Rhinolophus ferrumequinum: one gene and its partners. The protein of the gene in region 3 interacts with the protein of the main gene of each other region in a pairwise test. Links are inferred from orthologs where the notes say so. Each region holds a gene or a part of one and is shown on either strand. Other genes may lie near its edges.

Region 1 (7,487 bases), on a different chromosome or scaffold from region 3:
TTAGTATTAAGAAGTCTCAGTCTTTGCTTTCCTACTACAGCTAACTTTGTACTGAAATGTTTAAGAGATCTTCTGTACTCGATGTTGCGTATTTTTTCTAATTCTCAATAGGGATGAAGCACATATCTAGCCTGCTTTCCAAGGGGGATGCTTCACCTGCCTGGTCCTGCCTGCATGTACACCAACGGGACACTGACCCCGTCAGCCATATAGCTGTCCACACTGAAGAGTATGTTTTCCTGACAGCCCGAATTAAATGGTTAGCCCAATGGATAACAAAAAATCAGTACTTGCAAGACTACTTAACCCTTTTGTACATAAAAATTACAAAAGCTAGAATGAATCACTGGAAGGAAACATGTTATTCCAAACAGCTAATTCAGAATCAGGAGTCCTTTAGTTCTGTCTGAAATCAGCACACACACGAACGAGCCTTGGTATCTTTCCCAAACTTAGGAGTTTCATACAACTAAGGATTTTCCTAAGTACAAATCCTCGTAGGCGTACTTCTTTTTGATCGGTGTGACTGAACTGTGGGCCTAGATATACTTCTAGCCCATCCCCAAAACTCAAAGACAACAGCTGGGTACCAAATTACTTTATTTGAAGAAATGGTACAAACGAAAGAACGTAAATAGATGATTTGGTACAACTTATAGAAAGATAAAGGTAACCCTAACATGCACGTACTGCTCTGGTGACCAGGAAGTCACCCCCGTGGCTACTGGAAGCCGGCCAAAGGCTTAGCTCTCATTACTGTCTCCCAGGGTGTGCTTGTCAAAGAGATACTCTGCCATGCCAGATTCAGGGGCCCCCATCTTGCGTAAGTTGGTAATGTAGTCACCCAATTCTTTGATGGATTTCACCTGCTCGTTCAGGTAATGAGTCTCAATGAAGTCACACAACTAGAAAACAGAATAGGGAAGAAAGTTATTGGCCAGCGTTCCCAGCCCCCGAGGGAAGCGACTTCCTCCATTTATTCCCACGTTGCCAACACTCACATGGGCATCGTTTTTGTCAGTGGCCAGTTTGTGCAAATCCAGCAGTGACTGATTCACACTTTTTTCCAAGTGTAACGCACATTCCATTGCATTCAGTCCATTCTCCCAGTCGTCACGGTCTGGTTTCTGAATGAAAGGAAGTTAGGTCAATGCATCTATAGTCTCTACCAATAAACCGCAATTCAGCAGGTACCTAATGTAACCAGCGAGCTTTGGCAAAAGGGACATCTGAGTTTCCCTTGACGACAGTTTCCAATTTACCATCCTTGCTCATTACTGGGTGCCTACTTTAGCTAAGATGGTAGGCCTGAAAGAGCACGAAAGGTAAAGGCCCAAAGTATCCTTATTTTAAAAGGGCAACTGCTAGTCTCTGACTGATTTCTGACACCTGAGAACTGCTCGACTATGCAAGTGTGACAGCTGTAGGACCTTTTGTTCACCTTGACATCCTGAAGGAAGATTCGGCCGCCTCGCTGGTTCTGCAGCTTCATCAGTTTCTCAGCATGTTCCCTCTCCTCATGAGATTGGTGAAGAAAATATTTGGCAAAGTTCTTCAAAGCGACATCATCGCGGTCAAAGTAGTAAGACTGTACGTGGAATGTGAACATGTTACGTTAGGAGTCAGGTTGTGTTTCTAGATTGAACACAACAAAATTAGTTTCTACTTTTCAAATCCAAAAATGAAACCTGGCCCTTGAAATTCCAAGTTTACGACAAGGAACCTTTACAATACCATAGGAATACCAGTATGGAATGTCTGAATCGCCTGTATTACTGCAAAATTCTTACGGCCAGTGTCCAATTTCCCTGGAGAGGCTGTGGGAGTATTTACCCTGCATTATTAGCCCCTCCTCCCTGATCAACCCCTTTTACAACAGGAGCTTGCCAGCTTCTGGCAGACTGAAGGATTTCTAAAATTAACTTACTAGGCAAGGTGACAACTGTGTGCAATGCTAATGGAGGTAAATATCATTACCAGTAGAAAGCAAAAATTTGATTCGGTCTTGGACACTTGCTGCATTTAGGTGTTCCTCAAATGGAATGGCAGTCATAGAAATTCAGGCCTGTTTTCAAGAACATGTCTATTCTTGGATAATTTTCATGATCCTAAGACAATTCTAACTAAAACTCCCACCACATCGACTAACACCAGGATTTTGAAAAACGGATTCCACTGATCACGACAGAGAATAATTCCTTGCCCAGTAGCTGTCAGGGGGTTTCATCCCAAAATTCAGGGTTCAATTATTAGAGGGCTACAACTCTTATTACAGATACAAAAAAGACAAAGAATTAAGCACCCAGGCACTAGGCCGGGTGACATAGACAACTTCCTATCCACAGACAGGGAGATTCTAGAGATAGGCTTCAATTCAAGTGGGACTTAGAGATAAGCAGAGCAGAGGGGTGGAGACAGCTGCTCGGGAGTGGTCGGCCCACCGGAGATAAGTCACTTAGCACCAGCCCCAAGGCTGCCATTCGACACCATTACGCAGGAGGCTCCGCCATACCCAGGGGGATGGTAGCTGGACCTCTTCGTCCTTTACCAAAGAAAACAGAGGGTCTCAGGGACACGTAGACGCAGAGGATGGGATGGAAATGCAAAACAAATCTACCTTCCTAACTGCAGGGCTGTCTAGGTTTTAGGTGCTGCAATCCCGGGATTTCAAGAACCCAGGCTCTCCTTACACATAAAGGGGTGCGCAGAGGAGGCCTTTGCCTATGACGAAGTCCTCCCAGGGAGCAGTCGGCAAGAGCTAACTGCCCAGAACTTCTGCGCAAGACCAGTCCCGGGAGACCCGGAGCAGCCTCCATTTTCCCGAAGGGCGCCCGGGGCGGGAGGGCCGCCCGGTAGCCACACCCCCGCTCCGCGCCCGGGCGGCCGCCCCCGCGCCTCGGCCCTCGCCCTGCAGCCGGGCTACGCCGTGCCCGCTCACCATGGACAGGTAGACATAGGAGGCGTAGAGCTCCAGGTTGATCTGGCGGTTGATGGCGGCCTCGGAGTCCTGGTGGTAGTTCTGGCGCACCTGCGAGGAGGTCGCGGACGTCATGGTGGGCGGCTAAGGAGAGGCGGCGGCGGCGGCGCTGTTGCGGTGGCGGGAACCTCAGGGCGGTCGGCAGGCGCTGTGAGGAGGTGGCGGAAGGCTAGCCCTGAGCAGCCGGCGGGACGGGGGAATGAGCGCCGGGTTCCGTCCAAGCACTGTTGAAGCAGGAAACCACGGCAACTCCAGGCGAAGACTGTGGCGCAGGCCGCTGCCTCCGGCCTTTTATAGCGGGAGCGGGCGTCAGGCTCGCGCTGACCAATCGCGCGGATCGCCCGTCGCACCAGGCCCCGTCTTTTCCGGTGGGCGTGAGGCCCCGCCCCGCTGGGCCGGTGGGGGAGGGGAGGCCCGGAGGCCGCGGCGGGTGCGGCAAAGCGTGCGGCGGGGGAGGGTGGCTGTGCGCTCGGTGGCGCGCTTGGTGGGTTTGAAGGGACACAGTGGGGAGGGACGGGAAGCCCAGCTCGGAGCCCGGGCCCGCGTGGCCTCCTGGGTCTTGGAACCGACGGGAAACTGCCCCGGGGCATCAGGACGACTCTCGTCCCCAACGACACCCCGAGGCTCTGGGCCAAGGCCAAGGGCTTGTTAATGTGAGCGGCAGAGCAGCAGTTAGCACACCCCGAGGTGATCACCTCGTAATGCCAGTTGGGAAACTGGATATGGAAACGTGGGCCCTAGGAAGCCGACTGAGTCTGGTTGGACTGGGAAAGGACACACTTTCTCTTCCTCAAAGTCTCCGAAGCTGCAAAATGGAGGCGGAATGGGGGGGCCCACGCCACCTCGGATCAGCCCCCGCCCGCCCGCCCTTTACTGAAAGCAAATATGGCTCCTGGTGCAGTTTATACAACAAAGGCTGGGCGGGCCGTGTTTCCCGACAGACATGAAACCGCTTTCCCTGTGGGAGTCCTTGAGATGAGCCCCCTGGGCCTGAGAAAATCACTGGTGGCACTTTGAAACTCAGATGGAAAGTTAGAAAAAGGAGAAGAGACTTGGGCGCGCATCTGGAGACGATGCTGTGTGGCCATTTTGAAATGACCTCTTTTATCAGGTGCGGTTTGCACCGGGGACCCTGGAGGGGCAGGTCCACTGCATGTGGCTTGCAGCTATGACCCAGGCACGCAGTGGGTGGAAGAACTAGAGCCAGGCTCGAGCTCCTGTCCCCCAGTCTGCTGGCTTCGAAGTTCACTATTCTTAGCCAGGTCCTTTGACACGGGGGAGACTTATCCAAGACCCCTTTCAGGATGCTAACCTGCAACTGGAAGCTGGACTTCCAAACCTAAAAGAAACTACTAAAATGTTAAACCAAGTTGCTGATGGAATTATGGCTCTTTCTCTTGGGTCTTTATTCATTTCAAAATAAACGGTACTTTCAGGGAAAAAAAATTTAGTGGGGCCAGAGCTTCAATAAAGTAAGCAGAAGCAAGCTGGGAGAGGAGACAAAGGGTGCCTTACTCCGCCTGGGATAGGAGATCAGGGAAGGTTTTCCTAAGAAAGTAGCACTTGCGCTGTGTGAAGAAAAAGTTAAAAGGAAGGTGAAGTGGAGGAGGGAGATGAGGGAGAGAGAACTCTCCAGGCAGAGAGAACAGCATATGCAAACGTGTAAAAGTGTGGAAATGTATGGCCTGTCCAAGGTACTTTAAGAAAGAGTATAGGCCTGGAAAGTAGTCATGTTGGAGAATGCTGGAAGGGTAGTCTAGGGGCCAGGTCAGGAAGGAATGTGTGCCGTAAAAAGGGGTTAAATTTTATCCTGGATGATGTGGAAACACTAAGGGATTTCTACCACATTAGTTTTGTTTTTCAGAAAACTTACACCGAATCAACAGAAAAACTATTAGGATAAGAGTATAGCAAGTCATCAGTCACAAAGCTTTCCTGTATAATAATAACCATCAGTTTAAAAATGGAATGAAAGACAATTTTTTTCGTTTACATTGGCAACAAATGCTTACAGTATTTAGGAATAAAGGTAATAAGAAATGTGTGAAGAAAACTATAAATATTTACTGCTGGACAGAAAACTTCCATCAATGAAGAGACACCATGTTTCTAAATAACCAACCTCAGTTTTGTAAAGATGTCAGTTCTCCCAAAATAAACCTATAGATTCAATGCAATTTCTATGAAACTGGTTTTTTTGGGAACTTGACAAAATGATTCTAAACTTCATTTGGAAGAGTGAGTGTGTAGAATAGGTGATAAGTATGTGGGGGAAAAGATTATGGGGGTAGATTTGCCCTCCGTGATATGTGTGTGTGTGTGTGTATATATACACACACACACACACACACACATATGTAAAAGTATAAGGTACTATGAGCAGTTGGTATTGGCAAAGGAAGAGCTGACTATATCAGTGCAACAAAACAACCCTACCCACGTATGTATAGGAACTTGGTAGATGCTAAAGTGGTAATTTAAATTAGGGGAGAAAGAATGGGTTCAGGGCTGGCCCGGTGGCTCAGGCGGTTAGAGCTCCATGCTCCTAACTCCGAAGGCTGCCGGTTCGATTCCCACATGGGCCAGTGGGCTCTCAACCACAAGGTTGCCGGTTCGACTCCCACAGGGGATGGTGGGCTGTGCCCCCTGCAACTAGAAAACGGCAACTGGACCTAGAGCTGAGCTGCGCCCTTCACAACTAAGACTGAAAGGACAACAACTTGAAGCTGAACGGCACCCTCCACAACTAAGATTGAAAGGACAACAACTTGCCTTGGAAAAAAGTCCTGGAAGTACACACTGTTCCCCAATAAAGTCCTGTTCCCCTTCCCCAATAAAATCTTTAAAAAAAAAAAAAAAGAAAAAAGAAAGAATGGGTTCAACAAATTATGTTGAAACAATTGACAGTCATGTGGAAGAAGATGACTCACTATTTCAAAACATGTTCCAGCTGGATTAGAGATTCAAGCTTTAAAAAAATCTATGAAGTTACTAGAAGAATATATAGAAGATTATCTTTTAGAATTTTGGGATAAGGAGTGTTCTGAGGCTGTCGAAAGCCATAAAAGGACAGTTGGCGATCTGACTACTTAAAAATGAAAAGTTCTGTTTAGAGCGTGGTGCTGGTAACACCAATGTTGCTGGTTCGATCCCTGCATGGGCCACTGAGCTGCGCCCTCCTTAAAAAAAAGCTCTAAGACAAAAGATGCCATAAACAAAGTTAAAATTCAAATGACAAATTGAATTGATATTTGTAGCTCCTATAAGTAGTGACGATGAATAAACATACTATATATATTCATATGTATAATTATATACATATAAATCACACCTTATAATTGTCTTCCCTGCTACTGTATACTGTAAGCTCGAGGGCGGGCATCCTGGGCTCCCAGCATTGTGCAAGGTGCTTGTTACTTGGTGCTCAGTATTTGCTGAATGAACAGATGGATGCACGATTGAATGTGGAAGATGGATTAAAGTCAGGCCAGAGGGTTGGGTACCAGTTGGGAGGCAACAGCCCTAGTTCTCAGTGAGCAAAGAAGACAGAAAGCAGATCTGAGAGATATGGAGAAGACAGAACAGACAGAATGAGGTAGCTGATTGGATATTGGGGGTGGGTGGTGGTGAGGGGTGGGAGGTGGGCAAGGGAGCCTCCCACCTGGGCTGCAGCTGCCATTCACTGAGAGAGAGAGCACAGGAGGAAATGCAGTTTCGGGGAGAGGCCATTGGGGAAGGCAAGCTAGGTTTTGGACTGGAGGTGCCGAGTTTCAGGGCCTCCAGGACATGCAGGTAGCCAGAGCCAGCCTAAAGTTGGACCCACCAGAATGAAGTTGGTCTGTTGCAGAAAGAGATTTCATGAACCAGTATTGGCTCTGTGCTTGGTTAAACACATACACAGTTGTCGAGAACGTCATGGCAAAACTGAGGGACAGTCTGGGCTGTAGAAGTTCACTGGGGAGGCCAGCTGGGAAGAATGAAAGGGAAGTCTTGTGCTGGGTGTGTATGTGTGTGTCTGTTTGCCAGGGTGTCAGAACTGCCATCTCCAAGCTTCTAGATTCTTCCAAAGCTGGAGCCTGGTCTTTGGACCTTTGTTGACCAGAATTTGGCCTCCCTCCCCTTCAGCCCCAGCTCCTCGTGACTTTGAGGAGGTGGAGAGTTTGGCTGGCTTCCAGGGACCGCAGCCTCAGAGGGAGGAGACACAGAACCACCTGGCCAGTGGTTTCTGCAGAACACTGGCTCATCCCAGAGCTGAGGAATGGCAGAAGTGGGGCGGGGGTTTGTGTTGGAAGTTGCTGCCCCACCGTGACTCAGCACTCTGCTAGTCTGGAGGGGTTGGGCTTGGGCTCCAAAAGTGCTTTGTCATGGAGGGAAGGGGAAGGCTGAAAGTCTTGGAGGGTTGTGACTTCACTACACGGAGAGGGAGGGAGAGCCCCTCCCATTTCCTCATGTGACTGGCTGCCTAGGCTGGACCAGGAACAAAGGGGTCTAGATCAACCAGCCAGGCCCC
Region 2 (7,087 bases), on a different chromosome or scaffold from region 3:
GACACATAGATAATGGAACAAAATAGAGAGCCGAGAAAGAAACCCTCACTTATATGGTCAATTAATATATGAAAAAGGCGGAAAGAATATACAATGGGGAAATGGCAGTCTCTTCAACAGTAATGTTGGGAAAAATAGACAGATGCATGCAAAAAGGAAAAAAATAGAAACTGGACCACCCACTCTCTTATACCATATCCAAGAGTAAACTCAAAATGGATTCAGTACTTAATGTAAGATCAGAAACCATAAAACTCCCAGAAGAAAACATAGGTAGTAAACACTTTGACATCTCTCTTAGCAATATCTTTTTGGATATGTCTCCTTAGATAAGGGAAACAAAAGAAAAAATAAACATATGAGACTATATCAAACTAAAAAGTGATGGAAACCATCAATAAAACAAAAAGACAACCTACTGATTGGGAGAAGATATTCACAAATGATATATCTGATAAGGGGTTGATATCTAAAATATATTAAGGAACTCATACAACTCAATAACAAAAAATAAACATCCAATCAAAAAATGGGCAGAATACCTGAATAGACATTTCTCCAAAGAGGACATACAGATGGCCAACAGACATGTGAAAGGATACTCAATTTCACTAATCATCAGGGAAATGTAAATCAAAACTACCATGAGATGTCACCTCACACCTGTCAGAATGGCTATTATTGAAAAGTCAACAAACAAGTGTTGGTGAGGATGTGGAGAAAAGGGAACCTTTGTGCACTATTGATGGGAATGTAAATTGGTGCAGCCACGATGGAAAACAGTATGGAGGTTCCTCAAAAATCTGAAAATAGAACTACCATATGACCCAGCAATTCCACTTCTGGGCATTTATCCAAAGAAAATGAAAACACTAATTTGTAAACATATCTGCACCACTATGTTCACTGCAGCATTACTTACAATAGCCAAGACGTGGAAGCAGCTTAGGTGTCCATTGATAGATAAATGGAGAAAGAAGATGAGATGTGTGTGTGTGTGTGTGTGTGTGTGTACACACGTGCACACACGTGTGTGTAATGAAAAATTATTCAGCAATAAAAAAGCATGAAATCCTGCTATTTGCGAGAACATGGATGGACCTAGAGTGTATTATGTAAGTGAAAGAAGTCAGTTAGAGACAGACAAAAATCACATGATTTTACTTATATATGGAAGTTTAAAAAATCAAAGCAAACGAACAAACAAAACAAAACTAGACTCACAAAAACAAAAAATAAACTGATGGGGGTGGGTGGGTGATAGGATTTGTCACAAAGGTGAAGGGAAATATCGTCAATAACAGTGTGATATAGTCAATATTGTCAATAACGGTGACAGATGGGTACGAGACTTAGAGTGGTGATCATATTGTAACGTATATAAATGTCAAATCACTATGTTGTACACCTGAAACTAATCTAAAATTGTATGCCAACTATACTTTAATGTAAAAAACAACGGATAAAGACAGCACAAAAAGAGATCACTACAGACCAATATCCCAGAAGAACACACACACAAGAATCCTCAACAAAATACCAGCAGATTGAATCAGCAATATGTAAAAAGAATTACGCAACACAAACTTGAACGCAGGTCTGTTTATTTGACAGGATTTATCATCAAGAAGAAATGTCCCAGAAACAGATACAGTGAGGAAATCCTATATGTCTGGAAAGAGGCCTGTTGGTTCAGCTCTGTCTTTCTTCCTTCTCACTTGTTATTTTCAATGATTCTCAACAAGAAAAGGTACGGCCCATAAAAGGGCTTTTGGCACTGTAGGGGGAGGGCATCTTTTTTCTCTTCTTACACTTTCTGTTCTGTCCATGTCAGAAAGACGTTTACATGTGTGTTTACGGGGACCAAGGTGTCAATCTCTGTGGTGTGTGTTACATTTTCACACAATGAAAAATTACCCCACCCTCGCACCACGAGCGGTCCCCTTGAAGAATTCTGCTCTAGATGCTCTCAGGGTGACATTATTTACCGTCTTACCTCCCAAACCTCACTTTTCAGCCCAGGCCTCTTTCCTGAGACCTATATATCCAGATATCTGCAGGGCGTGTCCACTCTCTTCTCCGAGTAGTCTCAGGAAACAGTGCCTCCATATCCTAGCCGCGTGGCACTGGTCGATCCCGGCCACCCCGAGACAGAGTCTGGTCGTCCCCGGCACTCAGTCTCCCCTCGCATCTCCTTATTATCTATATCTTCTCTGCCATCCCTGCTCGACACTGGTTCCCTTTATTCTCTGCTCTGCCTCAATATCATGGCTCCTTCGTGGTACGCATCACACCATGATTATTTAATTACTCATTTGTTTCTTTGCTCGGGGCCCTCCCCCTCCACCATTTCCCCTCACGATACACTGCAGAGACCAGGTCTCTTCTCGTTCTATACTCAGGCACAATGCCCGAAATGTAGGGTGTAGTAAATAGTTGCACCCTCCTTTCCAAGTGGAGTCCCGTGGAAGGTCTCCAAGGCGGTCTCTCTACCTCTCCTTCTCCACCTGCCCCCAGCCTCCATCCAGGCTTCACTCTGATTCCAGTTGACCTTTCTGAAGACACCGACCCTGTCCGTGCCTGAGTGTCAGTCCCTGTGGGTCCCTGTGGGTCTGGGCGGGACGAGAAGCTCTCACATTTCAGTGAGTGTCCTTGGGCCTCAGTTGGACAGGCATGCAGTGTCACTCTAGGGACACTGGAGTGGCTGAGGGGCCAGGCTCGAGTCCCCTCCCTTCACCTCCCAACTGTAAAAAACAGCCCTGCCTGGTCTCACATCTTATTCTTTTCTAAGAAAAAGTGGCCAGGCTGCAAACAGTCCCGATGGGTTGTTTTCCACCCCCCGAGAACGAGCTACTTTTCTAAAATGAAACTCTCAGGCACATAACAGACGTTGCTCAATAATTGCTGAGCACGTTCATGCGAGTTATCTTCCTCAGTCCTTCAGCCTGCATGTGGGGCCCGTGCGGGACTCAAGGTTGAGTGTGCTGCCTGTGTGGACAGGATGGGGCCAGAAAGAGTCACATTTCACGCGGGGCCTCTGGGCCTCTGTGCTGTGAGCATGCGTGCTCTCCCCCGGAGGCTCCAGGGTGACCCCCCTTCCTCTGTTCACTATGGAAACCAGTGGCAGGACAGGCCTCTCCTCCCGTTCCCCGAGTCTGCCAAGAACAGCCTATCCCACAGCTGTGTAATCGGTTCCACATTATAGAGTTTGAAGGAAGCCACCAGCAAAACTGTCTGCACCAGAAGATTTTAAGTGGTAACTTCTCCATAGACTTCCTGCATCCATGAAACTAGATTTACAGAATCTAGATTTTAAAGGCAGCCCTTCACGAGTTTGCTTGGGGAGCTTTTTTGTAAACTTTGAGCATTTGCTTCTAAGATGCTGGCGGGGAAGGACTCATTGCCCTTATCAAATAGGGCCAACCTGGGGAAACCCAGCAAGCCTGATGAATCCTCAGAATTCTCAGGGCAACACTGGATCTCATCCCCAATCCTTGACCTTGAATTAAAGGAGTTGTAGAAGCCTCATGAGTACTGGCTTCCTCTTCTTCCCCTCCCGTGGTGTCATCTGTCCCCTTCCTTATGGTCACGAAAGTCTGCATCTCTGGCTTATGGGTAGGCACCTTCTTAGGAAGCCATCAAGCTACTGACCCCTCCCGTGACACACGTGCCAGTGCATTTTCTCTACTTAAAGGTGGTCCCAAGCTTTACATATTTCCACGTCCCTTTACAGGAACTTTCTTGTTGGTGGGCAATGGAGCCTCTTCAGCAGACCTCATCCTCGTCATCTGAAGAGGCGTCCAGTTGGGCTGCAAGCGTGAGCATCGCTAAGGGTCTACCCTGTACTTGATTCCAAACTTGGGATTCGGTTCCAATACTCTAAACCCTCCGAGCACAAACTACACACCCTGACACAGTCCTAGCCGGCCCTCCTGCCAGCCGTGAGCTGTGACGGAGCTGTGGTAGACACGAGGCTCCACTGTTGGCCAGGGGCAGCCTCACCAGAATGAGGCGCAGTCCAGCTCCGGCAGCAACTGAATCCCAGGAGGCTGCTGTCTGGCCTGAGCTCTGAGAGCTCCCGAGCAGGACATCTTAAACGGTTGTAATTGTCGTGCTTTTATGAACATTTTCATAAGTGCTTCTATACATGTTACATACCCAAGGTGCCAAAAACATGTATACACATGACTTGTATTCATCTTTCGTTATCAGCCTATATTGAGTACTACAATTTTAATACAGTGCTTTTCCTTTCTTAATATGTGTGTGTATATATATTTGTCAGGAAACCCACCTTTACACAACAGCCGACGCCTTTCTCTGGGGCGCTTGTATCTAATCTGCTTCTGGATGTACCTTGTTAAACGTTTTCTAAGAAACTCAACCTCAGCATCTCAGAAGTTAAGTTCTCATCTTTCTGCTTCAGTTTGCTCCTTCTCCAGTGCTCACCCTTCTCCGTCCCCAGACGTGCTTGGCGCCCACAGGCCACCCGGGGGTCACTGCTGCCCTTATCCCAGCTGCCCTCACCCTCTCAGGGGGCTCGGGGGACACCCGCCCCGTCGGGCTCCCCGCCCCACCCCCGGCAGCCGGGCCCGCGGTGGCGGACGCGCAGGCGCAGTGGCCGCCCGCCGCCGCCCCGCCCCTCCTGGCCTCTGCGGAAGGCGCCGCGCGCAGCAACGCGCACTTCCTCTCCAGGAGTCCGCGGAGGGAGCGCAAGCTCGAAGAGCTCCTGGACGCAGAGGCCCTGCCCTGGTCACACAGAGCCGACATGTCGGAACAAAGTAAGGATGAGTGCGACCCCGGCTTTGCAGCCCAGGCCGCCACCTGCGAGGTGCACGGCGGCAGCGGGGTTCCCGGGGGGCCCTCGGCGCCCGCGTCTCAGGCCGCGACCCTCGCAGGGCCGGACAGCCCCGCCGCAGGCCCGAGCGACGCCCCTGTCGCCTCGCCGCCGCCCCAGGCCCCGAGCGACGAGGCCGACCCGAAGGCCCTGCAGCAGGCCGCGGAGGAAGGCCGCGCCCAGCAGGCCCCGAGCGCGGCCCAGCCCGGCCCCGCGCCGCCCGCCCCGGCCCAGCTGGTGCAGAAGGCGCACGAGCTCATGTGGTACGTGCTGGTGAAGGACCAGAAGAGGATGATCATCTGGTTCCCAGACATGGTGAAAGATGTCATCGGCAGCTACAAGAAGTGGTGCCGCAGCATCCTGAGGCGCACCAGCCTCATCCTCGCCCGAGTGTTCGGGCTGCACCTGAGGCTGAGCAGCCTGCACACCATGGAGTTCTCGCTGGTCAAAGCGCTCGAGCCCGAGGAGCTGGACAGGGTGGCGCTGAGCAACCGCATGCCCATGACAGGCCTCCTGCTCATGATCCTGAGCCTCATCTATGTGAAGGGCCGCGGCGCCCGGGAGAGCGCGGTCTGGAACGTGCTGCGCATCCTCGGGCTGCGGCCCTGGAAGAAGCACTCCACCTTTGGCGACGTGAGGAAGCTCATCACCGAGGAGTTCGTGCAGCAGAACTACCTGAAGTACCAGCGCGTACCCCACGTGGAGCCACCTGAATACGAGTTCTTCTGGGGCGCCCGCGCCAGCCGGGAGATCACCAAGATGCAAATCATGGAGTTTCTGGCCAGGGTCTTTAAGAAAGACCCCCAGGCCTGGCCTTCCCGATACAGAGAGGCTCTGGAGGAGGCCAGGGCGCTGCGGGAGGCCGAGCCCACTGCCCACTGCCCCCGCAGCAGTGTCTCCGAGGACTAGCAAGGTCTGGAGGCAGATTCCTGGTGTCTGACCCTCACCAGGGTGGCGGGGCGGGGGTGGGTGGGCGGTAGCGTATTCAGGATTTCCAGTGCAGTATTTCACGTGTAACTTTTAAGTTTTCAGTACAGTGCTTTTATACCTTTTAATGCAATGTTGTATTCATTTCAGTACTATTAGGTAGTGGGTAGGACTTCTGCATGTTTGTTTATAAGTAAGCTCGGTCGGTGCTTTCGCTTTTGTGCTACCTTTCTTGAATTTTTGTACCAGAGATGTGCTAAACTTATGAAATACATTGAGAAGTTTTCCATCTTATTCTTTTCTATGGAACGGATGATGTGTGTCTCGGGTAGACTGCCCCGGGGAGGCAGGAAGAACTCCCCAGTAAAGCTGGCCTGACCAAGAGAAAAGTCAAGGTCCCCTCAGTTAATGACCTCGCGGGGCACAGGAAACACCCGTGCGGAGTGCGCCGGTGTGGTCTCACATGGTCTCAATGTGGGCACTTGGCACAGTTTACTAAACACAAGTACAACCCCACCATGAGTAAACTTGCAACATTAAAGATTCTTGTGATACAATCATTTTTGGAAAAGTGTACTTTATCTCTTTCACAATGTAAGTTGGGAGTGAGACGTTTTTCAAAATGTACAAATACCATAACTTTTTCGTCTACTAAGGTGGGACAGTCACGACTCATCGTTACTCCTAAAAGTGTGAACGCTACAGTTTTATTGTTTAAATGTAACTCACAGGTTCACGTCAAAACTTCGACAACTACAGAAAAGTAGAAAAACAAGAAAAAGAAAGCAAACATGCTCATAATCACACCACGTAAAAACCACTGTTAACGTCCTCTCTTGAATTTTGTACATTTTATTAAAATTAATAGCTGTGTTTTGTGGGCACTTAAAGAGGGAGGCATTGTACTAAACCCTTCCCGTGCATTTGCTCCTTTGATTGAATCCTCACGACGGCCTTATGAGACAGGCTTTCATTACATCTGCCCCGAGCAAAGTCGGGAACTAACTTTCCCTGGATCCGAAAGCTTAGTAAGAGGAGGAGCTGGGATTTGAACCCAGACAGAGTGGGTCCAGAGCCTCTCCTTTTCCTCACCTGCCTGTGACCGCTGCCCCACCTCCTGCCTTACTTTATTTCTTTTTTAAATTTTGTGTTACAGTCTCTTAGCTCCCTACCCCCAATGCACACACACACAAGCCTATGGATTCCACTTTTCTAATTAATCCTCACTTTAATCTTTTAGAGAAAGCAATCACTCTGATTGTACAAATTAAGAATCTTCATTTCAGAGAGATCAGTGGACCTAACCAAGTCATAATCCTGGGT
Region 3 (8,177 bases):
ATACATTATATTACTTAAAGAGTTCTATAAGGCTTATATAAAAACAACAGTAGTCTTCTAACTCCCCTCACTCTTCAAAGACAATAATTTTCAATTGAGTTTTTAAACTGTTGTTTTGTTTTGTATTCACCTTCATAATCCAAACTCAGAATAGCATGTGAATATTGCTACTTCTTGATGTTTCTGTTTTAGGCATTAGGTATTGACTTCCCACTGCTAACTCTCTTTTCCAACCTCCCATCACCCACTTCCATCCTCCCATCTTTCCAATATTATATTATAATCTTGTTGGATCTGTGTTTAGTGTTTACATCATTATGATTATGCAAATGCTTTTTACAGTTGGAGCCACGGGGATAATTATAGTTGTTTTCTGCACCATTTTTGTTTTCCCTGGAATTAATACTTGCCTTGTCTTTTTTGTTTGCTTAGTTTTCTGTGTACTCTAATTTACCTCAAAATTCTCCTGTAGTCGTATTAATCTCTTCTAAGGATATACAAACACATAGGAATTTGATTTATTTCGTTTGAAGAACTTTCCAGAGCCTGAAATTTAGGAGGCACTACTGGAATCTCCCTTCACATCTTTTTGCCTCTCTCGTGTTGATAAACCTGTTTCCTGGAATCTATGTCTTCATCTTTATTTTTCTTGGTTGATTTTGATGGAGCTTCTTGAGAAAGGAGGCCTGGGAGGTAAATTTGTTGAGACTTTTAAAGCCTGAAAGTGTTTTTGTTCTACTGTTGCACTTAATTGACATTGTGGCTGGGTATTGAATACTAGGTTGGAAACAATTTACCCTAAGAATTTTGAAGGCATTTCTTTCAAACTTCTGGAATTGCTGTTAAGAAGCCTGAAACCATTCTTATTCTGAATGCTTTGAAGCCTATCTTTGGTTCCCTTCCCTTTTCCCCCAACCAAAACTTTTAGGATCGTCTCTTTATCCTAACATTCTGAAATTTTACATAGAAATGTCTTTCTGTAGGTCTTCTCAAACTAGAAAGATGTGTTCTTTGGTTATGGAAACATTTTTTGAATTATTACTTTTTGGATGATTTCCTCTTCTCCATTATTTCTATAATCTCAAAACTTTTCTTATTCAGATGTTGAGTCCCCTGAACTAGTCTTTAGTTTTCTTTCCTTTTTTCCTATCTTCTGCATTTTTTGCTCTACTGTCTGGGAGATTTCTTTACTTTTATTTTCCAACCCTTCTATTCAATTTTTATTTCTACTTTCATATTTTTAATTTCTGAGAGCTCTTGTTGGTTCTCTGCATTTTTAAAGCATTCTGTTTTTGTTTCTTGGATATATGTTGTTTTCTTATCTCACTAAGGATATTCATGGCCGTTTTTTAAAAATGTTTTTTATCTTACGTAGTCTTTCTTCTGACCATTCCCCCCCCCCCCACCTTTTCTACTTGTTTTGGCCTCCGTCTTTCATTTTGGAGGCTTTCCTCAAATGTCTGGTAATCCTCAGTTGTCTGCTCATATTTAACATTGGGACACTAAAGTACTAATTGGAAAATTGTGTGTGTGTGTGTGTGTGTGTGTGTGTGGTAAAGTGGCATATTAACTGTGGACTTTACTGTAGAGTGATCCACTAGGCCATTTCCTTGAGGAACCCTTGCTTTTAGTGTCATTAGATCTTTTTTCTTGTCTGATCAGATTTCTCACAGAAGGCTCTTCCAGACTCCCACGTGGAGAGTATAAACCTGGCTGTAGGTATTCTCAGAGCTATGTGAAGAAGTCTGGGGCAAGTCTCAACATTCAGTATGTAAATTTTCATTTAATCCCCATTTTCAGTATCTATCTAACCACCCATCAATCGATATATCCATCTTTCTGTCTTTCTCCCAGTCTCTCTATTTAGAAATCCTAAGGCAAACTGGGGTATTCTGTTACAAATCATTTATACTCCAGCTAGAGTAATCTTACTAAAAGGCAAGCCGACTGAAAATCCTGTAATGGCTCCCACTGCCATTACAAACATAAAACTAAATATATTTTAGGCCCTCCACGCTTGGGCTCAAACCAACCCATCCAGCTATGTTTCCTCTTTAAGTCACTTCTAATCATGTTAGACCTTTTACTACTTTAAATGCATTGTACTCCCCTCTCTGGGCCTTCTGTACATGCCATTCCCCTGTGTGAAATTTTGTTTCCCCTTCTTCCACTCCCATCCTTTGTCTGAATGAATAACTAGAGCAGATAAAGAAGAGGAAAAGTCAAACCTGAGAAGATTGTTGGTGCCAGAGGTTTGGAAGTTGGTGATAGCATCATTTCTAAAACAAAATTCATCACTCCTATTGTTTAAGAGTACAAACCCAAACTCTTCAGTCTAACAGCTAGTACTCTTAATAATCTGCTCCACTTAATATCTGCAACTCTCCCTTCTCCTATCAGAATCACTGCTGATAGTCTCTTTATCATTGCTGCCACCCTAGTTACTGCTGCTCCTTCTCAGATACTCTTGAAGGCAACTCTTCTTTTGACAGCCCTTTAAATACTGGTGTAGTTGAAAGTTCCATTTTGGACCTAATTTATTTGTCAGTCTATACTTCTCTTTCAGAGATTTAATTTTCTCTTATAGCCTTAACTATGACTAATATGCTGATGATTCCCACATCCACCTTTCTAGCCCAGACCTCTCCTAGGTCACACAATTGTGTGTCCATTGACCTTCAGGACATTGATTCCTTCATTCAGTTCATATTTGCTGTGCCAGGAACTGTGCAAGGTACTGGTATACAGTGGTGGGGACAAACAAGACATGGAACCCAGTCAATCAGTCTCTGACTTCATACAGTTTATAGTGTGATGGCAGAAGAGAAATACTGGATAAATTATTAATATTACAACTATGATGAGTGCCACAAAGGAGTATAGGCTGTTTTGTCAGCGTGAGGCAAGAGACTTAATCTAGTGTGAGCATAGTGGAAGGATAACGAAATTATATTTAAGTTGGGACCTGAAAGAAGACTTTGTTGAAGACAAGAAATCATGTCCTCCTGAATGGTCCATAGGCCCCTCAAACTCAAAAAGCAAAACCAAACTCATTAAATTCATCAACCCCAAACTTTTGTTTCCTGTGTTCTCTCTTCCATGATTGGCATCACCAGTCACCCAGTAACCCAAAGTAGTAGAAATCTGGTAGTTGTGATCCTACCACTTCTTCATTGGCTTCTGACCTCATCCCACCCCACCCTCATCACCAATTCTTGTTGACTACAGCAAATTTAACAGGCTCAGATCAACTTGTACCCCTAATCCAAGTAGGTCCTCGGCATCTTTCTCACCTGCAATGGCTCCTTAGAGGTCTCACTACCTTCAGAACGGCACTTGCTCTTCAATTTGTTCTCCATACTTATAAAATGTAAATCTTATCACATTCTACGTATGGCTTAAAATCTTTCAATGACTTTCCATTATTAATAAAGTAAAAGCCATTCTTCTTAATTTGATTTCAAGTCCTTTACAATCTAGTTTCCTATAGCTCCCTACTTCAAACCAATGTTATTTGAACTAGTTGCGGTTCCCTAAAGGACATGCTTTTTCTGATCCTCTACACCATTGTATTTCTTGTTTTCTCCAGAATACTCTTACTGCACTTTTCTGCTAGCTCACTCCTACTCATCCTTCAACTCTCAATTTTCATCACATCCTTTGTAGTGATCTTCTTTGATCACTCTGTAGGACAATGACCGTTGTCTCTATGGGTTTCCCTATATGCATAGTCTTTATCATATCTTCAATTGAACTCTATGTACTTATTTGTTAATTTATTAAAACTTAATAAATTTGATAAATTTGTTAATAAATTTATTAATTTGTTAATAAATTTGTTAATAAATTTGTTAATTTGTTAAAACTTGTTTCTTTAATTGTCTGCCAGTTCTCCAAAATATTACAAATTCCATGAGATCAGAGACCACACCTTGTCTTTATATCTCTAGCACTTAGCACAGTGATTGGAATACAATGAGGGTTAAATAAATATGTGGTAAATGATTAAATGCACAACACGAGTCTAATTTCTGTGCAATTTTATTCACTTCTATCTAAATTTCTTATCTTACTTCAAGGATTCAAATATTCCCTCTACTATCCTTACTCCATAACAGTATTTTTTATTTTTTATTTCTTCAGCATTTAAATGATCACATTTTGTGCTGAGCTAAGTGGCATTTGATTTTCGGTACTGCCTTGAAATTATTCTTTAGCCCTTCATTATATGCGTGATCAGACTCTTCTCAAAGCAACAACGTGTCTCAAATCTCCTACTGCACAGAGTTATAGATGCTTAAAAGAGTCGATACGTATGTGTGGTTGGACAGTCAAGTTCAGAGTATGCGCACTGGTTACTTTTTTTTTTCTTTTCGACTCCTCTGCTTTTGCTGCGAAGCGTGCGCACCAAGAAAGACAAAGGTGGGGAAAGTGACCAAGCAGTCATTCAGGCGCATGCCCATCCCTAACTTGTCCAAACCCGGCGGAGCTCACAGGGAAGTGGGTGTGGTCTGGCCAGGAACCCCAGAAATCCAATCCGACTGAGTGAGCGCAGCCCCTCCCTCCCCATGATTGGCTAGCTCTCAGTGTTGTGGGGCGGGGAAAGGAAGAGATGGGAGCGGTGGAATGGTGGGATGGCGAAGAAAGAGCGCCAATCTTGTTCTGCGCAAGCGCAAATAAGCAACCAAGAGGGGGCGTGAGAGAGCGAAAGGGAGTGTGGAAGCCCCGATGCGCTGCTGAGCGCGAGCTGAGTCGCCAGCCTCGACGCCTGCGCCGTGGCCCTCAGGGCCCCGCGCGCGGCGGGCGGGTGCCTAGCGCGCCTGCGCAGTAGGCAGCGGCGGCAGGGGGAGGTGGAGGCTGTGGAGCGGCAGCGGCAGCGGCAGCAGCGGGTCCCGGGACTGAGGCAGCAGCGAGGGCGGCGGCGGGCGGAAGCTGAGGTGACGAAGGCAGCGGCGGCGGCGGCCGTTTCCCTCACGGTGGCGGAGACCAAGGCGGCAGCGGCGGACGGGGAGCGGCCCGGCCCCGGCCCCCTGCTCGTTGGCTGTGGCAGGGCCGCGGTGGGGCCGGCCCGGCTCCCGCCCCCCGCGGCTCCCCCTCCGGCTCCTCCTCCGGGGAGACGCCGGGGGGCTGGCCCGGCCCGTACTCAGACCGCTGCTGCAGCCACCGCCGGGGGAGTCGGAAGCGGTGGCGGCGCCATGGGCGGCCTGGCCTCTGGGGGGGATGTGGAACCGGGACTGCCCGTCGAGGTGCGCGGTTCCAACGGGGCCTTCTACAAGGTGAGGCGGCGCGCCGACTGGGGACACTCGTCTTTAGCTCCCTTCCTCCAGCCAGAGCGGGGAAGAGTGGGGCGGGATGGAGCTTCTGGAGCTGAGACCCGACCCTTAGAACCTTAGATCCACGCTCCCACCCGTAGCCCTCCTGGGGAGACCTCTGCAAGTTAACCCCTTTCCGCTTATTTTTGGCCCCTCGGTTACACCTGCTTTTTACCCTCATCTTAGAGAGAATGAACATAAGGACATTATTGTGCTTGGATCAGCGTCCCCCACCCCCCCAGAGACCCCATTTACCCAGCTTCGTATTGACTGACTTTTCCTGTTCCCTAGTAGAAGACATATCTTAGCGCTTAATCACATCTTTTCCAAGCACATGGAGAATTCTCTTTATTCTTTCCCTGTTTTCCCCTTGGGAAGGCCGTCCCATGTTAGATCCTTTCATCTTCCTCGGAGAGGTCCCTACCTACTGGCTCTGGAAGACACCCTCCTTTCGCCTTCTATTTCTGTTCCTAACCCAAGGAGAAATTGTCAAAATCTCTGACATTTCGTATCTGACCTTAGAACTCTGGATTGTACCAGTCAAGTTGCCTCCTAGCCATAAGGTGGCACCTTTTCACAAGTCTCTCACCCCACCCATTTATCCCAAGGTTAGCTGGTCTACCATTCCACCCAGGGATGGATTTGTATTTGTTATTACTTTGATCTCAGATACGGTTAGATCATTCATACAGTCTCTTCATCTTGAAGAATGTGAGCTTCATATTCATGATCTCTAAAAGGGGGATCTCGTGAAGATACCCTGTTTACCTTCTGAAGGATTTCCACTTCTAGACGACTTACGGCCAGTTCTCCCAATTTGGGAATCTGGTAGCCTTTTTTTTTAAAAAAAAAAAAAAAAGAAGGGGACTATCTTTAAAAGATCCTTGTTTACTTCAGCCCCTCCCTTGACCAGGATTTGGTTCTTTAGAACTGCTTTTACTACCACCTTCTTTATCTGTTCTGAATCCATTTTCTAGGACTCCCTCTTCCCCATTTAGGTTAAACCAGAGAGAGACCTGTCTTGTCTCTCAGGAATTTTTCTTTGTGAATGTTGTTATTTTGAACCTCTTTGGACTTCATGCCTGGAATAGCCTCACAGACTTTCTCGATTCCTGTCTTATTCTTTCATTTTACGCTGAGGAGCAAGAGCAGAGATAGCTTCGCATAACATTGCTTGTGAGAAGAGCCTCCTTTCCTTCACTTCCCCTCAAGCCTTTCTCCCATAATAGACCTCTTCACCTTTATGCCCTTGGAAATGACTTTCTCCAACTCCTTCCCTATGAAGTCATACCTTACTATGTAAAGGGTTTCATATTTGCCCTTGGAGTGGAAGGTTTCTGCCCCAGATTTAATTGATAAGTTCATTGTAGTCATTTTTACCCACTTCAAATGCCTGTCTATTTCTGCCTTTATTCCCATACCAGATTTCTTTATATTTAGTGCCTATTTCTTTATATATCTGTCTACAATCTTATTCTCTTGATTTAAATCTCTGACTTTTTATCCTAATATTTTTATATTCCTGTGTAATCCCCAGGAACCACTGTGTTCAATGTCTGAAGGAAGTTCCCAGCTGATCTCTTCTGTCATTTTTTCTGCATACTTTCCTAACTCCTGGGACTTTTTCTTCTAGCCTGCCTCCATAGCATTTCTGTTTTCTTTGGCAAGTGTCTATTTCCTTTCTGATTCTGATAGAGTACGTTTGTCTCTTTTTATTCTTTCCCCAAAAAAATTACATTACCTTTCTTGAAACATCCTTCTCATAAGATTTGAAACCCATGTCCCCCAATATCTTGTCCTTCATCTGGGCCTTCCCACGCCCAGATTCTGGGTTCCAAGGAAAGTGATTCTTAAATTGAGTCTCAGATCAAGATACAATGTTTGCTTTTGTTCTAGGAAGCATGGGAGCCAAGCACAGCTGGGGAAGATTGGTATCCCGTTCAAATTAACTGTGTGACATAGCTAGGAAGGGGGATGTTTCCCTTTCCACATATAAGTGTCCAACAGAAAATCTTTGAATCTTTCCCTTTTCTCCTGGGGGCTATGGCAGTGATAGACTTGAGTGAACTGGGGACAGGATACTTTGAATCAGAGAATAGAGTTTGGAGTTGAGCCAAAAACCAGGTAATGTGGATTCTTTGTTCTGGCCACTTTAGCATTTTCTGCCCCAAGCCTTAGTTAAACACAACAATAAATCCCTAAATTCAGACTAATTTTTCTTCAGCTTTCAGTGCCATATACTTACCCATTCTGACCTTGCCACAGATCTAATATTCATGACTCAGCAAACTTTGGTGTGGGTCAAGGAGTGTTGACATTGCTTCTAGAACTGTATATTTGGGGAGGTCCCTTTCTCCCCTATCAGAATTGAGTCCTATTTTTGATTTTCCATGAAAGGACTGCAGGTATCAGATTTGGGATCTAAGTTACTTTGTAGGTATCCCATGAGCTCTTCCTTTTCTGTCAGAACTTAAGGTATTTTATTCTTTAAGTTGTACTCTGCCAAGTGAAATATTTGTTCACCTTCCAGGGCACAATTACCCACATTTCCAGACCTTGCCTGGATATCCTAGTTCCTATTCTTTTCATAAGGAATATGGCATCCTCAGCTTCAACACGTGATTTTTACCCAGATCCTTCCTGCTTTTCTCCCAGAACTCCCTCCTCTCTATTGAGAGTCCAGGATTGGAAGGTAGATTGAAGGTGGGGACCAATTTAACGTCTTCTAGAATGTGAGGAAACTGAAGTACCTATGAAGCTAGGGCTCTCCTCATCCTCTGTCTGGTCCCAGGCCCCCTAAGCCAAAGCCAGGGTATGCCATGGCCACTGACTCAAGTCATCCTTTGGATCTGGTTGGCTTTCCAG
Region 4 (7,492 bases), on a different chromosome or scaffold from region 3:
AACCCAGGGGTTCTGGCTCCCAGAATCTGGCCTCCTTCACAGACAGAGTCCCAGTGAGGAGCTGGGGGCAGAACACAGCGGCACAGGGGGACTGGGAGAGAGATGGTCAGCGACAGGGAGACACAGGACCACAGAGCAGAGACAGACATAGGGACAAAAAGAGACTGAATGAGAGACAATAGACACACGCAGCAGACACACAAAGGCAGGCAGGCGAGGTAGAAAAAAGGACAGACACAGAGATCATGCTTAAATTGGGACAGAATCAAGTAAGGATAGAGGGAGAGGGCCCAGTGAGGGCTTCACATCCAGGCCAGGTAGGGGACGCGCCCCTCAGGTCATCATCAGGCACAGTCCAAGGTCCACACTTGGAGGGAGAGCAGGCAGCCAGCTGAGGCAAGGCCCCGCCCCGTGCGCGCTCTGCTGGCCTCTGCTGCCCCCTGCTGGCTTCGCCCCAGTACTCAGGCGGGAAGAAAAGTCAGAGACAAGGCTGCTTTGAGGCCACTCTTCATTCCCTCCCTTTCCCTCTCCCCCACAGCCTGGCCCATTCCCAGCCCTGCCAGCTCACAGGGCACCCCCAGGGCCCGTAGGTGGTGCAGGAGTCTTGCCCGTGACTTTGTTGGCACAGTCCAGCAGAGCGGTGTGAATGTCCTTGGCACAGGCAATCTGGGCTTTGATGACTGCCAGGTACTGTGGGTAGGGTAGGCTGTCAGGCTGCACTGCGTCAGGCTTGGTAGCTGTGGGCACCAGCGTTGGAGAGTGCTTGGCACTGTCGCAACTCTGTGACAGGCACTCATGTGCCAAGCGCTGTGGATGGGCAGGCAAGGTGCAACATCAGCTTCACTCTGGGTACTCCCAACCCCGCCCCAAAGACCAGCCTGGGGTGGCCTGCTGGGTCCCTGGACTGCTGGTCTGGGGGTCAGATCCTAGGCCTGCTAAACACTTGTTGGGTGAGCTCAGGTGAGCAGCCGCGCCCCTCTGAGCCTGTTTTCCTCCTTTGGAAAATGAGTTTAATAACTATCTTTGCAACTCATAAGGTGAGAATGGTGAGAACAGGGTGTGGGACAGACACAGGTTCTGGCACATCACTTAAGTGCTAACGAATGAGTGTTAGCTACTATGATTGTGACTGTCCTAACCCCAGGCTTGGTATTGGCAGTGGCTTCTCTGATGACATCTGCTCCCAGTTTTCCTCCTACTTCTTTGGTTGCTCCTTGTAGGTACTTAAATGCAGCAACTCCCACATCCCATCTCCTCCTTTAATTCTCAAGTCCTCTGGCGCTGTCTCATTCCCGTATATCACTGAGTACCCACCTCTGCACTGACGACGGCACATCTGTGTCCCCAGCCTCCCCTTATATTCCAGAGCTCTCACACTCCCCCCACCCCCAATGGCTCCTCTTTCTAGGTCCCTGTCTTAGGGAGGGCACTACCATTCCAACTAGAGCCCTGGGACTCATCCTGGAGGCTCCTCCTCTTGCAACCTGTCAGTTCCCATGGCCTCTGAGTTTCTCTCCCATCGGCCCTTCCGCACTTCCTCAGGGCCTTGTCCTGGTGGAGCCTCGCCCATTGAATCCTGCCCTGGCGGCCCTCTTGGGTTCCTAGCTTCCACTCTTGGCCCCTTTAATCCACCCCTCATTTGGCAGCCAGAGTCATATTCCTAAAAAAGCAATGGGTCCACGTTCTTCCCTGCTTGAAACTCTGGATGGCTCCCCAGCACCCTCAGGACTATATTTAAACTTCAGCAAGCCCCAATCCGAACTACACCTTAGCCAGACTGAATTTCATGATGTTCCTAAAGGGCACTTAAAGCAGAAGCTGTTCCTTCTGGCTGGAATGCCTTTCTACCACTATCAGGCTTCTCGAATTCTGTTTCTTCAAAACCCAGTTCAAAATAATGATGGCAATGATAATACTGCGGAAACATTTGCCATGTGCCCAGTACCATGTTAAGTACTTTACATTCATGATCTTGCTGAGTGTTTCCCGAAAATCCATTTTCCAAAGGAGGAACCCTCGGCTCAGATGTAGAGGTTGGTGGTCCATCTGATTCCAGAGGCTCTTAGCCACTTGCCCTCCTTTGGATTCCTGCCCCACCTCCAGTTTTGTTCCTGCCTCAGCTCAGATGTGTTCTCCACCAGTAGCCTTCCCTGAGTCACTCTCTACCTATCCCTAGCCCAGGCAGGGTCAGGTGCCTTCTCTGGGCTTCCACAGCCCCCTGAGCTTCCCTCATTTCAATCCTGACTTCTTTAGCCGTGTTCCCAATCCCCTATCCCAGCCCTGATCTCTAAGGCCTGGGCTTCTCCATCACAGCTCTGAGCACTCTGAGGCCTCAATGATGGGCACGTGTGTCACCCCACTGGACTAGAAGCTCTGAGTGGGTAAAGATCAGGGCAACACTGTGTCCCCAGCTTCAGATGAAGTACAGGTCTGGCCCTCAGGAGGTGCCAGTGTGTGTGTGTGTTAACTGGCTGAATAAGGGTTCCTAAAGACCCAGGGATTGAGGCAAGATTGTGATCACCCAGTGTCTAGGAGGCCCCTTACCAGGCAGAGCTCCAGCTGGTCACAGAGTGCGTAGAACTCCTCCAGACACTTGTCAAAGCGCTGTATGGGTCCATCACTGCTCTTTCTATAGTCCATGAGAAGGAGACTGAGAAACGGATTTTCAATCTCTGGGACATCTACCCAACTAAGTAACCATGAGGAAACCAGGTATAGGCCCAGGAGCCCCGCGGCAGGGCCTATGGAATTGTTAATAGTAGAAGAGGCAAAAAGAGCAAGGCCCTACGGAGCCCGGCTTGAAAATAGGAGGAAAGGAGGCGGGTGGGCGGGGCTTGGGGGATGAGTTTCTAAGATGGGGTGGAGATAGGGGTACATCTTAGGATATGGGACTATACTCACTGTCCGTTGTCAATATTAGTGTTCTGAATCAAGTTCTGGGCTGCAACCTTCATCAAAGTCTAGTTTTAAAAATAAAGGTGAGAAATGGAGAAACAGAAGGAGAGACTTTTGGTAGTCTACACTCTTCCTTAAGATTTAATCAATCTCAGGCCTCTTCACTTGACACCGTCTGTCACTCCAGAGTAACTCCCGTTTCCATTCCTCTATAGCAATAATCACCCGTATTTTCCCAGGGGCCCGTTTTCATCTGGGGTTCTCGCCAATGACCTCCCGGACACATCTTAGAGCCCTCACCCACCAATCACAAGCAGAATCTCTGTACAAGCCATCCTTTCTCAGGCATTAAGGACCAGAGCTCGGTTTCTCCTTTAAACTCCCTCCCACTTGAATCCCGGCCAATCCCAGGCTCAACATCCGCGCTGCTCCCACTAGGACCAACTCTCACTCCTTTTCCCTGCCTAACGCTTCTTTTGCCCGCTCCCAGCCTAAACAGCCCCTCCGCCCACCCCCTTTAAGTCAGACAGCCAAACCCCGCTTGCTTCTTGAAGCTCCCGGCCAAATCACCTGAAGACTCTCCTTTAGCTGAGGGATGAGCATCTTATAGCGTTGCACGGGATCGAAGTCCTGTTGTTGTTGCTGCAAAAGCCCGCTCTGGGCAGGCCCCACCAGTTGTGTCGGTGGTTGCGGCTGCTGCTGGCTACCCGGGCCACCAGCCGAACCTGGGCCAGACACACCAGCAGCTGAGGATGCCGCTGAAGCCTGCTGCTGGGACGCAGCCATCTTTCTCCCTTAGCGCGCCGGAAGTGCGTTATAAGCGTGTCTCTCCGGTTTTCTTTACAGCGTCTTCGTCTCTAGGCCTTGTTTGCTTGTTAGCTCCGCCTCTCAAACACTTCAGCCAATGGAAGGAAAGGCACTCCATTCTCCAACACCAGACTGTCAAATCCGACGTCCAGTCTGACCCTTACTCAGCCGCTGGCCAATCCGGGTGTGGGTTTAATCTGGACTCTATTTCCCAGAAGGCCTCGCAGCTTGAGGCGACCAGACTGAGCCTCACTGTCTTGGCGGCAGTTGGTGGACCTGCAGCTGCGAGTTTGCGGCTGCGCGTTTACCTGAGAACTCTTCTCATCAACCCACCGGGCTAACCCCGCGGACAGGGGCGCCAACCCGAGCGCTGCGTGGGATTTCGTGTCCGCCGAAGTCTGCACGCTTCACCTTGTCTTTCTGCGGCTCAGCGGAATCCAGTCGGACTGCAATCGTCTCGTCGCCATGGCGCCCACCATCCAGACCCAGGCCCAGCGGGAGGATGGCCACAGGTAGGCTTCACACCTCTTGGCTGTACCGCTTTCCTCTAGGTCTGTCCAGGTTTCAAGGAGGCCGGGATTAGGCTCGGGTGTCTACCTATAACGTCACTAGCCCCCCAGGTCTGCCCGTGACGTCACGGAGCGCTCACGTTTGAGGAAGGCAGGTGAGTTCCTTCAGGGATGGGATGTTGCCTCCCAGCCATGGAGTTCGGGGATTAAGCTCTTGGAGACTTTTCATAAGGGATTGAGCTCTTATTCCTCCAGTCAAGCGTCTGGAGACCCCCTTTTCCAAAAACAGTTGAGTACGTGGTTCTTTTGATTACACTTGAAGACACCCTTTTCAAAAGGGATTGAGCATTTTCTCTAAAAGGAATTGAACACTTGGTTCCCTCCATTAAAGCACTTGGTGCACCCATACCGAAAGGATGAGCATTTGTCATCCCCTTCTTAAAAGTTTGGAGAAGCCCCGTTCACTCTCCTGTCGGTCTCCTTCTCTTCATCGTTTACCGATGTCTCTCTCTTACCCACCAGGCCCAATTCCCACCGGACTCTGCCTGAGAGGTGAGCCCCCTTATATTTTCCTAGGAGGGGTGGTCCGGGGTGGGGGCAGGGAGCAGAGGTGGGGCAGCAGGGGCCGGTTTCCACCCCCCACCAATATTATCAGCGTATTTTATGATTACAAACCCCCCAACCCCCTCCCCTTTGGCAACCATTAGCTTGTTCTCTTTATCTGGGGGTCTGTTTCTATTTTGTTTGTTTTGTCTTAAGATTCCATATATAAGTGAAATCATGCATGTTATGTTGTCTTTCTCTGTCTAACGTATTTCACTTAAAATAATCTGTGGGTCCACCCATAGATGTTCCAAATGGTAACATTTCATTCTTTTTTTATTGATGAATAATGTTCAATTTTACACACACATCTTCTTTATTCATTCATATATTGATGGACATCGATCCAGGTTGCTTCCATATCTTGGCTATTGACTAGTAATGCTGCAGTGAATATAGGGGTGTATAGATCTTTTATTTTTTTGAGGAATCGCCATACTGTTTTCCATAGTGGTTGCACTAATTTACAATCCCAACAGTGTATAAAGGTTCCCTTTTCTCCACAACCGCACCATCACTTGTTATTTGTTGATTTTTTTTTTTAAAGGAAAGCACATTCTTTTTTAAATTTTTTTAAAGTTTCTTTTAAAAATAAATTTTATTGGGGAACAGTGTGTTTCCCCAGGGCCCATCAGCTCCAGGTAGTTGTTCTTCAGTTTAGTTGTGGAGGGTGCAGCTCAGTTCCAAGTCCAGTCATGGTCTTCAATCATTAGGTGCAGGGGGCACAGCCCAGCATCCCATGCAGGAATCGAACCTGTAACCTTATTGTTGAGAGCTCGCCCGCCAACCAACTGAGCCATCAGCCGCCCCTCTGGAAGTTCAGCGGAGGCTCGCTGTCTTCAGTCTAGTTGTGGAGGGCACAGCTCACTAGCCCATGTGGGAATCAAAACAGTAACCCTGTTTTTCAGAGCTTGGGCTCTAACCAACTGAGCCATCCAGCCGCCCATTTGTTGATTTTTTTGATGATAGCCATTCTGACAGGTGATAACTCATTGTGGTTTTAATTTGCATTTCCCTGATGATTAGTGATGCTGAGGCTTTTTTCGTGTCTGTTGGCCACCTGTGTGTCTTTGAAGAAATGTCTGTTCAGATCCTCTGCCCATTTTTTAATTGGATTGTTTGGGGTTTTTTTGGTGTTAGGTTATATGAGTTCCTTACATATTTTGGATATTGACACCTTATCAACTGTATCATTTGCAAATATCTTCTCCCATTCAGTAGGTTGTCTTTTTGTTTTGTTGATGATTTCCTTCACTGCACAAAAACTTTTCAGTTTGATGTAGTCCCATTTATTGTTTCTTTTGCCCTTGCCTGGGGAGACATACAAAAAAAAAAAAATACTGCTAAGAGCGATGTCAGAGATTTTACTGCCTATTTTTCTTCTGAGAGTTTTATGGTTTCAGGTCTTACGTTTAAGTTTTTAATCCATTTTGAGTTTATTTTTGTATATGGTGTAAGACATTGGTCCAATTGAATTTTTTGCATATATCTGTCCAGTTTTCCCAACACCACTTATCGAAGAGACTATCTTTACCTTATTGTACTTCCCTGCATCCTTTATTTTAGATTAACTGACCATAAAGTATAGTATTCTTTAAAGGATTCTTTGTATTTCTGTGGTGTTGGTTGTAACTTTTCTTTCATTTATGATTTTATTTATTTCGGCTCTCTTTTTTTCCTTGAAGAGTTTGGTTTAAGGTTTGTCAATTTTGTTTATCTTTTCAAATAAATGGCTCTTAGTTTTATTGCTCTTTTCTATTTTAAAAAATTTCTATTTCACTTATTTCCACTCTGATCCTATTTTCTTCCTTCTATTTACTTAGGGTTTTGTTTTTTATTTTTCTAGTTCCTTTAAGTATAGACTTAAGATTGTTTATTTGGGATTTTTGTTGTTTCTTGAGGTAGGCTTGTATAACTGTGAACTTTCCTTAGAACTGCTTTTGCTGCATCCTGTAAATTTTGAAAAGTTGTGTTTTCATTTTCATTTCTTTCAAGATAGTTTTAATTTCTTGTTTGATCCATTTGGTAGCATGCTGTTTAGTCTTCATATATTTGTGTGTTTTTTCCAGTTTTCTTCCTGTAATTTCTAGTTTTATGCTATTGTGGTAGGAAAAGATGCTTGATATGATTTCAGTCTTATTGAATTTGAGGCTTGTTTTGTGGCCTACTGTGTAACTAGTCTGGAGAATGTTCCATATGCATTTCAAAAAAAAATGTGTGTTCTGCAGCTTTTGGATGAAATGTTCTGTAATTATCTATTAAGCCTATCTGGTCTAATGTAATATTTAAGGCTATTATTTTCCTTATTAATTTTCTGTCTGGATGGATTTATCCATTGATGTGAGTGGGGTATTAAAATCCCCTATTATTGTATTACTGTGGATTTCTCCCTTTATGTATTTCTCTCTTTATGTATTGCTTTCTCCCTTTATTTCTCCCTTTATGTATTGCTTTACATATTTAGGTGCTCCTATGTTGGGTGCATAGATATTTACGATTGCTATATTCGCTTCTTGGATTGACCCCTTTATAATGATGTAATGTCCTTCTTTGTTTTTTACGTTTTTTGTTTTAGTCTATTTTGAAGTCTGATATGAGTATTGCTATTCCACCTTTGTTTTAATTTCTATTCTCATGGAATATCTGTTTCCATTCCTTCTTTCCATCTGTATATGTCT

The links.
Region 1: the proteins of FXR2 (region 3) and FTH1 interact in binary tests that used the Homo sapiens proteins (3 or more experiments, as listed by UniProt). The link is inferred for Rhinolophus ferrumequinum from reciprocal best matches to the Homo sapiens genes FXR2 and FTH1.
Region 2: the proteins of FXR2 (region 3) and NDN interact in a two-hybrid assay, tested with the Homo sapiens proteins (2 studies listed by BioGRID and IntAct). The link is inferred for Rhinolophus ferrumequinum from reciprocal best matches to the Homo sapiens genes FXR2 and NDN.
Region 4: the proteins of FXR2 (region 3) and PAF1 interact in binary tests that used the Homo sapiens proteins (3 or more experiments, as listed by UniProt). The two-hybrid records come from large-scale screens. The link is inferred for Rhinolophus ferrumequinum from reciprocal best matches to the Homo sapiens genes FXR2 and PAF1.

Annotation. Positions count from the first base shown.
Region 1 is NC_046294.1:9,006,931-9,014,417, reverse strand, and holds FTH1 (ferritin heavy chain), read right to left. Parts: upstream 3,257-7,487; 5' UTR 3,053-3,256; coding exon 2,939-3,052; intron 1,589-2,938; coding exon 1,442-1,588; intron 1,128-1,441; coding exon 1,002-1,127; intron 906-1,001; coding exon 744-905; 3' UTR 584-743; downstream 1-583. UniProt on the Homo sapiens protein: Stores iron in a soluble, non-toxic, readily available form. Important for iron homeostasis. Has ferroxidase activity. Iron is taken up in the ferrous form and deposited as ferric hydroxides after oxidation. Also plays a role in delivery of iron to cells.
Region 2 is NC_046311.1:14,636,063-14,643,149, reverse strand, and holds NDN (necdin), read left to right. Parts: upstream 1-4,641; 5' UTR 4,642-4,768; coding exon 4,769-5,746; 3' UTR 5,747-6,324; downstream 6,325-7,087. UniProt on the Homo sapiens protein: Growth suppressor that facilitates the entry of the cell into cell cycle arrest.
Region 3 is NC_046304.1:11,268,910-11,277,086, forward strand, and holds the start of FXR2 (RNA-binding protein FXR2), read left to right. Parts: upstream 1-4,829; 5' UTR 4,830-5,195; coding exon 5,196-5,276; intron 5,277-8,177. UniProt on the Homo sapiens protein: mRNA-binding protein that acts as a regulator of mRNAs translation and/or stability, and which is required for adult hippocampal neurogenesis. Specifically binds to AU-rich elements (AREs) in the 3'-UTR of target mRNAs.
Region 4 is NC_046298.1:38,559,169-38,566,660, reverse strand, and holds the start of PAF1 (RNA polymerase II-associated factor 1 homolog), read left to right. Parts: upstream 1-4,051; 5' UTR 4,052-4,167; coding exon 4,168-4,214; intron 4,215-4,733; coding exon 4,734-4,763; intron 4,764-7,492. Other genes in the region: MED29 (mediator of RNA polymerase II transcription subunit 29), read right to left, coding at 462-737, 2,545-2,629, 2,902-2,960, 3,466-3,681. UniProt on the Homo sapiens protein: Component of the PAF1 complex (PAF1C) which has multiple functions during transcription by RNA polymerase II and is implicated in regulation of development and maintenance of embryonic stem cell pluripotency.